Caenorhabditis elegans: one gene and its partner. The protein of the gene in region 1 interacts with the protein of each later gene in a pairwise test. Each region holds a gene or a part of one and is shown in the gene's direction. Other genes may lie near its edges.

The links. Proteins that work in one complex are often made in the same cells at the same time.
Region 2: the proteins of hlh-30 (region 1) and jip-1 interact in a two-hybrid assay, tested with the Caenorhabditis elegans proteins (one large-scale study listed by BioGRID).

Annotation. Positions count from the first base shown.
Region 1 is NC_003282.8:4,024,309-4,031,763, reverse strand, and holds the start of hlh-30 (Helix-loop-helix protein 30), read left to right. Parts: upstream 1-3,636; 5' UTR 3,637-3,677; coding exon 3,678-3,857; intron 3,858-3,952; exon of another isoform or gene 3,953-4,036; intron 4,037-4,700; coding exon 4,701-4,886; intron 4,887-7,455.
Region 2 is NC_003280.10:1,323,848-1,331,354, forward strand, and holds the start of jip-1 (PID domain-containing protein), read left to right. Parts: upstream 1-3,147; 5' UTR 3,148-3,153; coding exon 3,154-3,249; intron 3,250-3,989; coding exon 3,990-4,202; intron 4,203-4,819; coding exon 4,820-4,980; intron 4,981-5,566; coding exon 5,567-5,724; intron 5,725-6,476; coding exon 6,477-6,641; intron 6,642-7,204; coding exon 7,205-7,312; intron 7,313-7,395; coding exon 7,396-7,507.

The DNA of each region.
Region 1 (7,455 bases):
AAAAATGTGAAAAATCAATTTTTCGCACTTCCGATCTCGAATTTTTTGAATGTTTGTATTCTTTTGATCTATTTCTATTTCTATTTCCTTTCTGTGTCGCTTCTAGGGTTTGCACTTTTCTCTCGGCTCTTTTCCTGCAAAACCGTGTACTTTTCTGCTCTCTCGCGGCTTTTTGCACACGGCGCAAAAAGTGCAATGTCTCGTCTCACTAATCCCACGACGGAAGGGTGAAATCTGACGAAAAATAAGAGATATTCTAGATGTGTGAATCAGGATTAAAAGTTGGAGAAAAAGTTTTGGAGCCGCGCGGGGTCGAACCAAAGTAGGAAAAATAATCGGAAATAAACGCGTTAGCCACTAGGTCACCGAAGAACACTTAAAAGTGAAACAAAGGCTTTACAGAAGTTTAGAGCTAATTTTTGAAAATGTTGTGGAATTGTAAAAAAAAATATAAAGTTGTAAAAATTCAAATTCCCGCCAACCCATGACTCTCCAAAGAATTCAATGATATCCACTATCTTCGCCAGAGACCCGACATCGATCCATCATCGGTTTTCAGTACGCGCCGCGCGTGTCCTTGAATCGCCGAATGTGTTATCTTTTCTGTACGTCTTCTTCTTATTCTTCTTCTTCTTTCGTCCCCCGCCATTCACCGTTTCCTCTTCATTTTTCTTATAGTTTTCTTCGGTTTTCGGTTTTTATTTCGATTTCCTGCCTTTGACTGCCGCCCTAAAATTCGTGTACTTTTAGATTTTATCTATCAGTTGACTAACTGTTTTGGGCGCGAAAATTTTTTGAATTTGCCTCTTAATCGCTTTAGGGGCTAATAAAATAAAATAAGTCACTGAAGTTAATTTTTCTACTGTGTAAGTTCCTTTAATATTTAATAATCTCATTACTTGCCAACCAACATTGCCAAAAACTTCCATATTGGTTATCACTTTTGCCTTCCGCATACACCTTCCAGGTTCGACTCCCCGTGCCTCACAATTTCCTTTTTTCGTATTCCTACATCCTGTAACTCAATAGAAATGTAGTCTGTAGTCTCCAGGTGTTTTTGTTTTCTTTCTTTTTCTTCAGCGCACTAATTGTGGTGTCTCCTTTGGTTAGTGAAATATAATAATAATAATACGACGATGATGATTTTAGTTCCTCTCTTTTTGAAGAGCTTATCCTTCTTTTCCGTGGGATTTCACAATGTTTCTCTAGTTTTTTGTTTCCAAAATTTTATCTGAAATTCTTTTGCGTTGGCCGAGCTGAATATAATCAATTTTTGAACTTAATTTGATGAAAAATTCAAGAAATTTGTTCCATGATCTTTCTAATCCAGCATAAAATCTGAATACTTGTTTATCAGTGCAGTCCTCTTTCCAAACGAAAAGATTAATCTCTGCTTGGCTCACGGAGCACAACGAAAAATGTGTCTTGATGAGAAATCGGGTTAGATGAGTGACGTCGCAAATACGAAACAATATGAGATTAATGAAAAAGCCCTCTATTGTTTCGTTTGGAGGGGATAAGGATAGAGTTTTACCCTTTTTTTGCTGTGAGGGACTTTTGGCCACACATATAGAGAATTTTGGGGCTTAACCTATAAACCTTACTATTAGGGCCACGGCCTAGGAAACGGGGCCCAGGGAGCTAGATTTTGGAACATGAATTTGTAAGCCTATGAGTCTAAGCTTAGGTGTCTAAACTTTCTGATCGGGACCTAAACATATGACCCTGGGGGCCTAAAATTTTAAAGCTAATAGTAAGCCTTTGAACCTAAGCATTGGGACTTTAACTTTTGGAGCTAATAAACCCCTTTACCGGGAACACCACTAGGGACGTTCTGGGAACACCACTAGGGAGGTACCTAAATGTTAAGAACTAAGCCTAGAGGCAAACTTCATGGCCTTAGCTTACAAGCCTTGGGACCAGGGAGCCAAGCCTATAGATCTAAGCCTAGGGTCTTAAGTTTCGGACTCTAAATCTGAAATTCAAACTTACGAGAAATTGAGCAAAAAGTGTTGTCAATTTAAACCCTTTTTCAATTTAATCATCAATATTTGCCCCGACCTCTGGAAATATCACAATACCACCAATCCGGCGCCCCAACTCCTCCTTTATTTCTCAGTTAGCCCCCCCCCCCCTACTGTTTGCCGAGTAACAATTCTCTGCGTCTTGCAAATTCCCAAAACTTCATTGTACATACACATATCACTATCATAATCATCACACACTAATTATGAAAGAGAATAGGCGCCGCGCTTATCAGTTGGCGGCGGGAGGCCGAATTCTCCTTCGTCGCCTAAAAAGAGAGGGTTTTGTCGAATAGTTTTGTTTTATTTTCGTATTTTCTTTGCGTTGGTTGGAATTTAAAACAAACTTTTGATGGCGTCATTGTTGCTTTGGATCATTTCTTTGTCATGTTTTTGTGATGATAACCTGTGTTTGGGTTGAAAAAAAATCGACTTTTCCAGGTTTTTGTTGACTTAGAGACTTTGTGAGGTCTCACTTTTTGAAATTGATAGAGTGCCACTTCCAGACCCCCTAAAACTTCCAGCAAAGCCGCTGGGTAAAAATTCTACTCGGATCATAGAACGATAACATTTTCTTCAAGTTGTCTTTTTTGATCCATCCGTTTTCGCCATTTTTTTGTTTCTGAACCTCGGAAGCTTAAAAAATTCTAATTTTCCTGAAAACCCTGTTTCGAACGACCTAAGTAAGCTTCAAATGTCAGAAGTCCCTAGGTGCAGCTCCAGAAGGCTTAGGTTCTTAGGCTTAGCTTCCTAATTGTTCGCCCTCAAGGTAGGAATTTTTGGAATATTTTGTTCAGGACATCTAATAACACTTTTTGATTTTATTTAGATCACCTTAGATTGCATACTGCTCCATTGCCCGAACCTAGAAAAAAATCCTTGTCCGAACAAAGGCCTTAAATTGTTAAGCTAGCTTTATCTTTTGAATTTCTCAGATTTTTCAAAACCGAATTTTGATCTCCCTCATCTTTTAATCTTCTTCTAATCAAATCAAGCCCATCAAACTGTTCAAAAAAAAAGATCTCTGGCCACCTCCTCCGAATACAGTTTGTTGTGTTCTTCTTATTTTTCTCGACCTAATCTCTGATGTCTTAACTATATGGACCGTTACTATCTTGTAATTAGGATGGGGCCAATGATTTTGTTTAGGAGTTTAGTATTCTAGGATTCCAGCTACGCAGACAGCTAGCCACCCCCAACTGCCCTTAAGTAGCCTAATCGCCATTGTCTCGACAAGAACTTGGCAGGAGGTGGGGGACACAGTAATAAACGAAATGATCGGTGGTGGAGGCTGTGAGAGAAAGAGATAGGGGCGGGCGCGTGTGCGCCCGTGTGCCCCATCTCTCGCGCCTCTCGCTCGATCCTTTGGGGAGGGGCTGCTGTTGCTGGCGACGACCTCTTGATATGTCACATTGTGTCTGCCGCTCTCTCGCCTCGTCCTCTCGTATCACCTCGGTCTCCCGCGACCCCTTTGGGCGCCTCTCTCCCGACCCTTCCACTCGGTTTCTTCTCTTGTCTTTCGCTCTTTTCCCTCTCCCCCTTTCGAATTTTTTTCCTTTTTTTCTACCAACCAATATACCTTTTTATCGATTGATTTTTTTTTAATTCTCAGATCCCGATACTGAAAAAAAAAATCAGCGAATAAGAGCATTCATGATCCGCCAACTAAATTCACCAGGCGGTGGCGGCGGCCTCGGATTGAACAATCCGAGAGCCCAGCAGCCACCGGGTGCTCAACAGCAGCAGCAACCACAACAAGCCCAGCAACAGTTCTACGATGACGAGCCATATCAGGCTAACGCGTCGCAGTTTCGATTTGGCGCCGGCAAAAGTGTAAGGGCTAATAATTTTCTAGGTTCAGGTTTAGGCCAACGACATTTGGTCTTTACACCCTTCAAATAGCCCCGTTTCTTATCAGCTCTCTTTCCCCCCGCTTTTAGTTTCCTGCTCCGGGCACCCAACTTCCTTCCGGGACACTTGAGTAGCCTAACTCACCAGAACTTTGTCTTGAAATTCGCTCAAGATAAGACCCCCATCTGACGATTGATTGACCGGTCATGTGTGGTGACAATACACAAAAAGAGAAAAGAAACAAGAGAGCGAATGAGACTTGATTGTTTTGTAGTTTGTGGTTTCGGCGGTCCGTTTGGGCTTGACACAGGCTTCTAGTTTCAGTCCTATCAACGTTCTTTGAGCTGATATCAGTTTTGACCTACTTTATCAATTTACCAATCGCATTACCATTTTCATTGCGAGCCAAAACTCGCATTAAAAATTTACAAACCTCGCTTAAAATTGTACTTTGCTCTCTTCGCCCATTTTCTAAGCTTGATCCGATTTCAATTTCAAATCACAAATCGAATTTCAAACTCAGTTTTCTCATCTCTCGACGCCAATTGTCATCACTTTGGGGCCGGCGAGGCGGTGGCGACAGGGGCAGCTAATTTATCAAGTAACAGGGCTGCTCAGTTTTCTGATCGGCTTTGATTTCCCTATCTCCCAAATTAGAGAGATATAGACACAATGTTTTTGGCACACTGCCAACTTCCCGCCCGCCGCCGCCGCCAATATAGTAGTAGTAAACAAAGCAGAGCGCTCATGGTGCATCAACGACCGAAATTTAGTAGTTATCTTTCCATAATGATTTCTATCTCTTTTCTTATTTTGTATTTTGAGATGGAACAACGTCGAGAGACGGGAAATCTGATTCCAATCGCACAACGATCGATGGGCTCGACGTCGACACCGTTCGGCTCAGCGCCTACACAGAGCTACTTTGGCGGAGGGAGCAGTGGAGCGGCATTAAGTAGTCCAAGGAAGATGCAGCAGACGCATCAGATGTTGTTCGGCAATATTCAACCGGTTAGTTTCAAATTTTATTAAAAGAAAATTTTTGTTTTCTTACATTGTTTGAGCTCAAAGTCTCTACAGAAATAAAACAAAAAACGAAACAAAATACTGCATTCTAACATAATTTTTAACGATTTTATGGAAAGTTTAAAGGTAGTTTACAAGTTTTTTTTACCCAGCTCAATTAATAGTAAGAAAAAAAGCAGAATTTTTGGAATTTTTTTCTTATGAAAAAAAGTGGGCCTGAAAGGGCTCCCCGGTAACTAAATTGTTTTGTGGTTCTTTTTTTTTAATCTGTGTAAAAGTACCTTTTTCAAGAGTTGGGGTTTCTTGGCTCAAAATAAGCTTAAACCCTGCTCTTCTTCGCTTAAAGGCGTAGGCACACAATTAAATTGCTCGACATTATAGATCTTCAAACTTTACGTAAAAATTTCTTCCAACTTGCTCCCCTGAAACTGATATCTTTTCATTTTTCTTGTAGATCTCCCTTTTTTGGCATCTGTTGTTAGCCTAACGTCGTAGGGTCAAATTATAGAAGTTTGAATTTTTACAAAAAAATTGTTCTTGATTGGCTTTAACAATATGACCCCCCCCCCTGAGCCATGTATTTGTTTTCAAGCACTTTTGCGCCACGGCGCCCATTCCATATTTTTCCTTCCACATTCTGCGGTCTCTCCCACTCCCAGATGACTCCACCCTAGACGGAACAGCTGAAAAACGAAAAACGGGCGCTGAAAAAATCTTGCGTTTGGCACGTAGCCCCCCCCCCCCCCGGGTCTCTGTCTGCCTCTTGGACAGTGTCACGTGGTGTTCGGCTAGCTTCTCTCGGCGTCCGGTTGTTTTTACACTCTCCGATGGTCTCTGACGTGTGGTAGTGGTGGTGGATAGGACTGAGAAGACAATGAGATGTTTGAGTTGAACTTTCAAGTTGATTGGTTGGGTAGGGAGGGGGCTGTATGTGGACTAAAAGGTCGAATAGGACCCTAGCTATCAACAGCGCATCAAATAAAATTTGACTTTATGATACGAGTCTGTACCATTTGACTAGCTCATTACAAAAACCCACGAAGCTAACTCCAAGTTCCCGGTATTTCGTTTGAAACTTTTTTGCCAAACTTCGATGCTCGTAGAATTTATCCAAAACCAAATTTTCTGAGATTATTAATTTTTCAATGTTTAGGCCAAGCTTTTTGAAACTTTTTCTGAAAAAAGCAGAGTTTTTTTTTCGATTATTTCGAAATCCGTCGAATTTTTCATAATCGGATTTTCCCAGATTTATAACGCATTCTCAAAGCTTTTTGGAAATTTTTAGGACTTTTTCTCCCCATTTTGTCAGTGCATTTTCGCTAGTTTCAAGTCCCGTAGAATTTCTCCAAAACCAAATTTTGAGAGATTTTCAATGTTTTAAAGCATGAGGAAAACTAGGCAAATATTCTGGAAGCTTTTTGGAAAAAAAAACATCTTACAAAAAAAAATTGAAATTTCTCGGAACCTGGGATCTTTTTTTTTTCACAATCAGTACATTTTCCCCCTAATTTTGAAACCTGTAGAATTCAGGGAAAATCTGATTTTCATAGAATTCTAATGTATTTAAGAACGTTGAGAACTTAACTTTTTTCTAGAAATTTTTTCGACCATTAGAGTTTGTTTCCCAGGAATTCGAAACTTGTACAAATTTCGTTATCACTCTTTATTTGAACTATTTTTCTAAAATTGTGAAGTCCTAATTATTAGTGTTGTACGTTTGAATCCGGATTCGTTTTCGCATTGAGACCCAATTTAGTTCAATTCAGAGCTTCATTACTTGCTGAGACTGATCCCTTGGTAAGCATAATGCTCATTAGCCAAAAGTTCAACTGTACTACTCCTGCTCACCTATCCCTTTCCTAAAAACTTCTATTGTTGTTGTTGTTGTTATCCTGGTTCAAAAACCTTTCTCCCTTTTTCTCCCGCGTCTCTTCTTCCTCCATAGCATTTTAGTCATTTTCCCGCCAAATTTTTTGTTTTCGCCGACCAATCACCGCTCAAAAACCAAAAAACTTCCTCGCTTCAAACAACATCAACAATTGGAAAAACAGTAAGATGACGTCATTTTGATTTTCTACACTACTCGACAGTTGTCGCTTCACCCTAAAAACAAGACCATTACTCAATACACGCGATACGACCTTGTGGCAAAGATCAGATTTCAAAGTCTGTCTGGACGGCGGCAGGAAATTGTCCGGCTGTCTGGAGTACTTGGATCACTCTGTAGTCAGTTTGTAGTAGTTTAAATACATTTTGCTACATTACTTGAATAACCCCATTAAAGAAAAAATTTCTCTCCATTCCGTTCCCTATCAATTCGGCAGAAAATGTACTTCTGAACAATTAAAGAAAAAAGACGAAGTAACAAAATAGAAAAGAACGAAAGATAAGAATCATCATCCTCACACAGTCAGCTGATCGCAAGACGAACCGAACCTTGAGAAACGAAAAAAGCGTCGAAAAAAAAACGAAATGTTTGTTTACCTGGCCGGGTGCCAAAAAACCCCTCTCTCGCACAGACCCACACTATCTCGCCGCGTATTGGCACGGCGCC
Region 2 (7,507 bases), on another chromosome or scaffold:
TTTAGCTCTCAAGACACTGTTTACAGCAGAAGAGAAGTACAATTCATTTTATTTTTAAAAAAAATGCTCAAAAATGGTTTTTCCCTTAAATTGGTCTGCTAGACTACAAACTACACAAAAGAATTAGACCCAAGCTGACGTGAGTTTTGGCCGATTTTTGAAAGTTTTATCATGTTTTGAATGAATTGTGCTGCTGTGTAACAGATAATTTTTCAAATATTCAGTTTTTGTCAACATTTTGCGAAAATTAGAGCTTCGAAATGGGCCCCCCAAATTGGTCTGCTAGACTACAAACTACATTTTGTATTTAGCAGACCAAAATCTTGAAGACCCCGCGAAAAGTTGTATTTTTTCTCCAATTTCCCCTTCCTTTTCCTAATTGAATTCCGTGCAATTCAGTGCCCCCCACCCGAAGCTTCTTCTCTTGTCTGACCTAATTTGATCTACCGGGATATCGGAGTGTCGTAGTGCTGCCACGTCATTTTTTTCTGTGTCTCCTTAAATACATACTAATTTTCAATTCTAGAGAATAGGAAATTTATGTAGACTATTAATATTAATGTTTAAATAAATTTATGAGGAGGGTTTTGTGTTTTGGGTCTGCTAGGCTACAAACTACGAAAATTTGTTTAGCAGACCCATTTTTTTTCGATTTTTCGATTTTTTTTTTACTTAAAACTACACTTTGTCTCGTTTTTTAGCGATAATTAAAAAGTTCTGACTCAATTTTCAAATTTCCGGGGTACTGTAGCGCCACAAGTACGCAAACACCGAGCATCTTACGACAAAATGCACAGAAACTTAAAATTGTCTGAAAAAGATGGACCAGGGGGTAAAAAAAGGCCCTGAGTTTGAATTTCATAATGAAAAATTGCTAAAATTCATAGAATTCAAGTCATTTTTTAGTTTCTAGTTATCAATTTTAAAAAGTATACGTTTTTTCTAAAATTCCGCTGTAAACTACAAACTACATTTTGCCACGTCATCGTTTTATGCCCCATATCCACGTATTCATTAGAAATTCTGTAATTCCTGAATTCATTTTGGCATGCATTCTATCTATAAAAAAGAAGATCGAGAAGAAGAAGAAAATGAAAAAATTCGGCGTCTTCATGTGCTCCTTAATCTATTCCAACATTTTTTTTTTGGTCTGCCAGACTACAAACTACAGATTTAGAACTAGCAGACCTAAGCTTCTTGCTCAAATTTGAAAATTTCCGAAAAAAATTGCAATTGTTTTTCCAAATTTCCCGTTTTTCGAGAATTTGAACAATTTTTCCCGCGTTTTCTGCACAATTTTGACGTTTTTGGGTTACTGTAGCGCCAAAAGTACGCAAACACCGAGTCTCTCACGCGAAAATGCACAGAATCTCAAAATCATCGGAAAAAACAGTCCCAGGGGTGAAATGAGGCGCTGAACTTGAATTTGACAGTTAAAATTATCAAAAAATACCTGAAAACATTGAAAATTCAATTTTTTTAGTTTTTTCTTTCAAAATTTCTTTTTCGGAAGATATATTCGCCTGGAAATAAATTATAGGGCTATATATTAAATTTCTAACATTTTTCTTATGTTTCCTGCTCAAATTTGTCTTTTGGGGGGTACTGTAGCCCCAAAAGTCCGCAAACACCGCACACCTTACGCGAAAATGCACAGAATCTCAAAATCCTCTGAAAAAAGTGTTCTAGGGGTGAAATGAGGTGCTGAGATCGAATTTCAATGTGAAAAATTATGAAAATCGTTGGATTTTGAGAAATTTTTTTGGTTTTTCGAAAAAAACCTGCACCTCCCCACCCCCCCCCCCCCCCCTCTTTCAGGGGGTACCCCTTAATCTATTCCCACTCATTACTACATCTTTTTTTTGCTCTCATTTTCTCTGCGTCTCTCACTTTCACATACTATCTCGTCGGGAGATTAGTGTGAAGAAGACGCTACCCTCAGAGAGCAGGAAATGCGCGGAATTTATTGGAAAATGTGTGTGCTCTCTCGATGAGGGAAATGGAGTGAAGAAAGGGGGGGGAGGAAATTGAGATAACATGTCAAAACTCGTGATATGATATAGCCAATAACATTGGTGAAAATTATAAGCCAGAAAAAAACATCGCAAAAAAAAATTTTTTTTAGCAATTTTTCCCGAAAATCTTTATTTATTCAATTTTCATCAATTTTTCATGCTAAAATTCGAACTCAGCACCTAATTTTACCCCTAATCCATCCTTTTCCGACAACTTTCGGTTTCTGTGCATTCTGTCGTAAGGTCCGGTGTTTGCGTACTTTTGGGGTTACCGTACCCCCGAAAAGTTGAGTTTTTGGCAAAATGTTTTTTTCTCGAAAATCTTTATTTTATCAAGATTTTTCCTGATTTTCATGTTAAAATTCAAACTCAGCACCTTATTTTATCCATACCACACCTGTTTCCGACATTTTTGAGATTCTGTGTTACCGTACCCCGCAAGACTTAAAAATTGAGCTAGAGACTCGGAAACAAGACTTTGGCTGGAAAATTTGACAAAAAATTCGTAGGGAACTTCAATTTTGATTTAAAAAAGTTTTTTTGGAATTTCGGGAAAAAAAAATTTTAGAAAATTTTTTTTCCAAACTTATTTTCTTTATTTTTCATTTTTCACTTTCTCAATTTTTCATCTAAAAATTCAAATTCAGGTCTTGATTTTACCCCTACCACGTCTTTTCCGGCAATTTTGAGTTTCTGTGCATTTTGTCGCAAGGTCCGGTGTTCGCGTACTTTTGAACCTACAGTACCCCCGCAATACTCGAAAATTGATCTAGAAACTCGGTAAAAAAGGCTTCGGCTGTAAAATTTGACGAAAAAATTGTTGAGAAGTTAAATTTTGGAAAAAAAAATTATTTTTGGAATTTCGGTGAAAAAAAATTTTTTTTTGGAATTTTTCAAGAACAAAAGTTTTGAAAATTTTCTGAATATTTTTTCCATGATCCCCTTTTTTGAGTTGTTTTTCAACGCAATTTTCTCTGCACTCTCTTCACTCTCTCATCCACTCCATTCATCATTTTTTCCAGCGCGCATGTCTGGAACAGAGATTCACTTTTATTTTTCCTTTTTTCTTTTTTTTTTTTTGCTCCAAAACTTCTTTTCCACTACTTGAAATTTTAAGTCTTAAAAATTTCAGCACAAAATGAGCGCATTTGAATGTCGAAAATGCGATGATTTTCCGATTGAGGAGAACACGGAGGACGAGGATGATGACGAGTGTCCGACGGTTATTCGGAGGGTAGGTTTTTTCAGGAAAACCGTTGATTTTTAAAGGTTTTAACTATAAAAATCAAATTCAGCAGCGTTTTTTTGCTCCTAAACCGGTTTTTTTGCAAAAAGCAACAAAAAAATTAAAAATTTTTTTTTTTTCAAAACTCGAAATTTTTCTCGAAAACCAGCAACTTTTAAAAATTTTCATATCAAAATTCAAATTCAGCGCCACTTTCTACCCCATTCCCAGCTTTTTCAGCCAATTTTAATTTTCTGTGCATTTTGTCGTAAGGTATGGTGCATCGATTTGTGTTTGCGTACTTTTGAGGCTACAGTAATTCCAAAAAACTTAAAATTGAGCCAGAAGTTTAGAGAAAAACTTATTAAGGGTGAAAAATTACGGAGAATCCGAATTTCTTAATAAAAATTGTGAAAAATTTCAAATTTCTACAAATTTTCCAGTAAAAAATTTTCTCGGCAAAAAAACGCAACTCATTTTTGGAATTTTTCACACCGAATTTCATTTTCAACACAATTTTTTACCCCTCAAACACCATTTTAAGTCAATTTCAAAGCATTCTGCATTTTGTCGTAAGGTGCAGTGTTTGCGTACTTCTGGAGCTACAGTAACCCAAAAAATTTCAAAAATGAGCTAGAAGCTCGAAAAAAAAAAGTTTCCAGGGTAAAAAATGTCGGGAACTCGATTTTCATATCGAAAAACCAAAAAGAAGCCTCTAAAACCTCCAAATTTCCTGAATTTTTTTCCAGTCCTACTCAGCCGACTGGCTGCACAACGACAATTCCTCTGGAGGTGATGACGATTCAGAAGAGGATTCTGACGCCGAATTTCTGGTTCATCCGTGTCTTCGGAGTATTATTAAATCGAAATCCGCTTACGCAGTTCCCCGTAACTCTGATGACGTTGCAGCGGCGGCAGCGATGAAAAATAACAGAATTAAGCCGAGCAAAACAAGCTTTGAGGTGAGCTGGATGAGGAGGTGGTGGTGAAGATGTAGTTTGTAGTCTTTGTAGTTTTTGTAGTTTGTAGTTTATAGTTTGTAGTCCGTCAGACCAATGTTTTTTAGTTTAAAATTGATTGAGTCTGCCATTTGCAGGTTCATAGTTTTGTGTGGTTAGATCTGTTATTTCGAAGTTGGTAATTTATAGTTTGTAGTTTATGGTTTGTAGTTTATAATTCGTAGTTTGTAGTTTGTAGTTTGTAGTCTGTAGTGTATAGTCCATCAGGCCAAAATTTGCAAGTTTAAAATTGATTGAGTCTGTCATATGTAGGTTAATAGTTTTGTTTGGCTAGATCTGCTATTTTGAAGTCAGAGATTTATAGTTGTAGTTTGTAGTTTGTAGTTTGTAGTTTGTAGTTTGTAGTTTCTAGTTTGTAGTTTGTAGTTTATAGTTTGTAGTTTATAACTTGTAGTTTGTAGTTTGTAGTTTGTAGTTTATAGTTTGTAGTCCGTCAGACCAATATTTGCCAGTTTCAAAATGATTTGATCTGCCAAATTTAAATTTTTTGTATATATTTTACAATTTATAGTTTATAGTTTGTAGTTTGTAGTCTAGCAGACCAGAACACCATTTTTCAGATTTCCTTATCAAAAATGATGGAATCAACGAGTAAAAGCATAGCGGAAGAAGCAGAATACTCAGTAGCCGACCTACTTCCGACACTTGATGAAAAATGGCCGGACCCTGAGGAAGAAAATGAAAATTTGAAGTCAAAGCGGCGGAAATCCAATATTATGAGGTGAAAATTCGAATTCTCCATCGTTTTTCACATGTTACCCGTTTTTTCTGGGTCTCTATCGTTAATTTTGAGACTTTTGGGGTACGGTAGCCCCAAAAGTCCGCAAACACCGTGAGCGTGACGCAAAAATGCACAGAAAAACTCCGATTTTGCTGAAAAAGTAGAGATATGGGTAGAAAATCATGCTGATATTGAGTTTTGGCATGAAAATTGTTGAAAAATCATTTTTATATCGCAAAAAAGGAACATTTTCCCTGTTAATCCAAATTTTCCCCCTTTGAAACATAAAAATTCGAATTCCTCACCATTTTTCACTTCTAGAATACTTTTTTTTGGAGTCCTAGCGTAAAATTTGAAAATTTGAGGTTACTGTAGCTTGAAAAGTGCGCAAACACCCAGCATCTTACGACAAATTGCAGAAAATCTTAAAATCGGCTGAAAAGGCGGGTTTAGGGGTAAAAAATGACGCTGAGCGTGAATTTTGATATGAAAAATGTTGAAAATATCTAGATTTTGTGAAAATTTGGAAAATTTGGTTCAGTATTGGTCTGCCAAAGTCCAGCATACTCTAAACTCAAATTTCCAGGTACTCCCCGAGCCTATGTGACTCTGATCTATCACTGAACCTCCATGATAAGGATTCTGAAGATGATGAGGATCGTATTCTAAACCGCCCGTCCGGATGTTGGTCCTCGCCGCCCAACTTCTTCGATGAAACATTTCGCGGTGTTTCTCCAATGAATCGTTAGTTTGTTTACTGTAGTTTGTAGTCTAGGCTTTACTATAAACTACAAAAATTGGTTGTGAAAAAATGTTTTGAAATATCAAAAAAAAAAAAGAAAAAAAATCGAATTTTTTCCCAAAAATTTCAAACGAAATCAAATTTTGACGTTAAAATTCAGATTCCTCGCATTTTTTCACCCTAGACCCATTTTTCCTGGTGTTTCCTGCTAAATTTTGATCATTTTGGGGTACTGTAGCCCCAATAGTACGCAAGTACGCAAACACCGAGCCCCTCACGCGAAAATGCACAGTTTTCTGGAATTGCGTAAAAAAGTTGGGGTAGGGGTGAAAAATGGTGCTGGAAACGAATTTAATAGTGAAAATGTTTTAAAATCGGCAGAAAATATAAAAATTTGAAGAAAATTTTAAAAGTTGTTTTTCAAAAAAAATTTTATCCAATTGTTTTGCACAAAATCAAATTATTAAGTGAAAATTCAGATTCCTCGAATTTTTTCACTCTAGCACCATTTTCCCCCGTGTTCTCTGCTCAATTTTGACCATTTTGGGTTACTGTAGCTCGAAAAGTACGCAAACACCGAGCCCCTCACGAGAAAATGCACAGTTTTCTACAATTGCGTAAAAAAGTTGGGGTAAGAGTAAAAAATGGCGCTGAAAACGAATTTTATAGTGAAAATGCTCGAAAATCAGCGGAAAATCCAGAAATTTTGAATTTTTTGAAATAAAAAAGTTTGAAGTTAAAAAAAAATTTCCAGAAAAGTGTTGGTCAGCACCGGATCTCGAGGATATTGTGTTCAAGACATGCAATGTGTTGTATAATTATGACGTCATCGGCGGCGGGAAAATTCCAATTTTGAGGGAGCTAATCGACGAGGACTCCATTGCAATTGGGTATCCAGTTATAGAAACACCTGATAATGGTATGTAGTTTGTAGTTTGTAGTTTGTAGTCTGCTAGATTACAAACTACAAATAAAATTTGAGTTCATGGCACATGTCCCCTTAGTTTTCTGGAAAACTTATTTGGGAAATTTTGAAATTTTGAAAATTAAAATTTTTTCCAAAAATTTGAATTTGCAGCCGACCGCATGGTGCAACTGCGCTCCACGGATAATTTTGCAATTTTTCGAATTTTCTGAAGGATTTTAAAGCTGTTTCACTGACAAATTCAAATTTTCCGCCAACCAGATCAATAAATAAGCAGTTTTCTCATTAGAGCACACTTGCAGCACGCGGTCGGCGGGAAATTTGAGTTTTCGGGTAAAAAAACGTGGTTTTTGCGAATTTTTGCACTAAATAAAAAAGCGAAAAATTTAATTCAATAAATTTTGTCAAAAGTCCCAAAAAAAATTCAAAAATTTTTTTTTTTTTTTTTCCAAATTTCAATTTTTTTTTGAAAAAACCTTCCAAACGACACTCCGACATTCCGTTTTCTACAACTTTCCCAAAAAATCCCTAATTTCTGCACACCATCCTTATTTCAGACCCTTCAGTTTGCTCGTACCGTCTACCATCATCGCTCGGCTCCGCCCCCTCACCCAGTCCGCCCCGCCCACTTTCACCAGTATTCGGACAACCTGCACCCCCACAGTGTACCTAATTTTTTTTTTGAAAAATTGGAAAAAAATTGAAATTTTTTTTCCAAAATTTTTTTTTAATTTTAAAATTTTTTCAGACAGAATGCACGTGTCCCAGTCAATGCACCTACCACGTCGTCCAGATATTGAAGCATTCTTGGCAGATTGCCAGAATGATTACACTCAGGCTCCGCCTACTTTTAATATTGG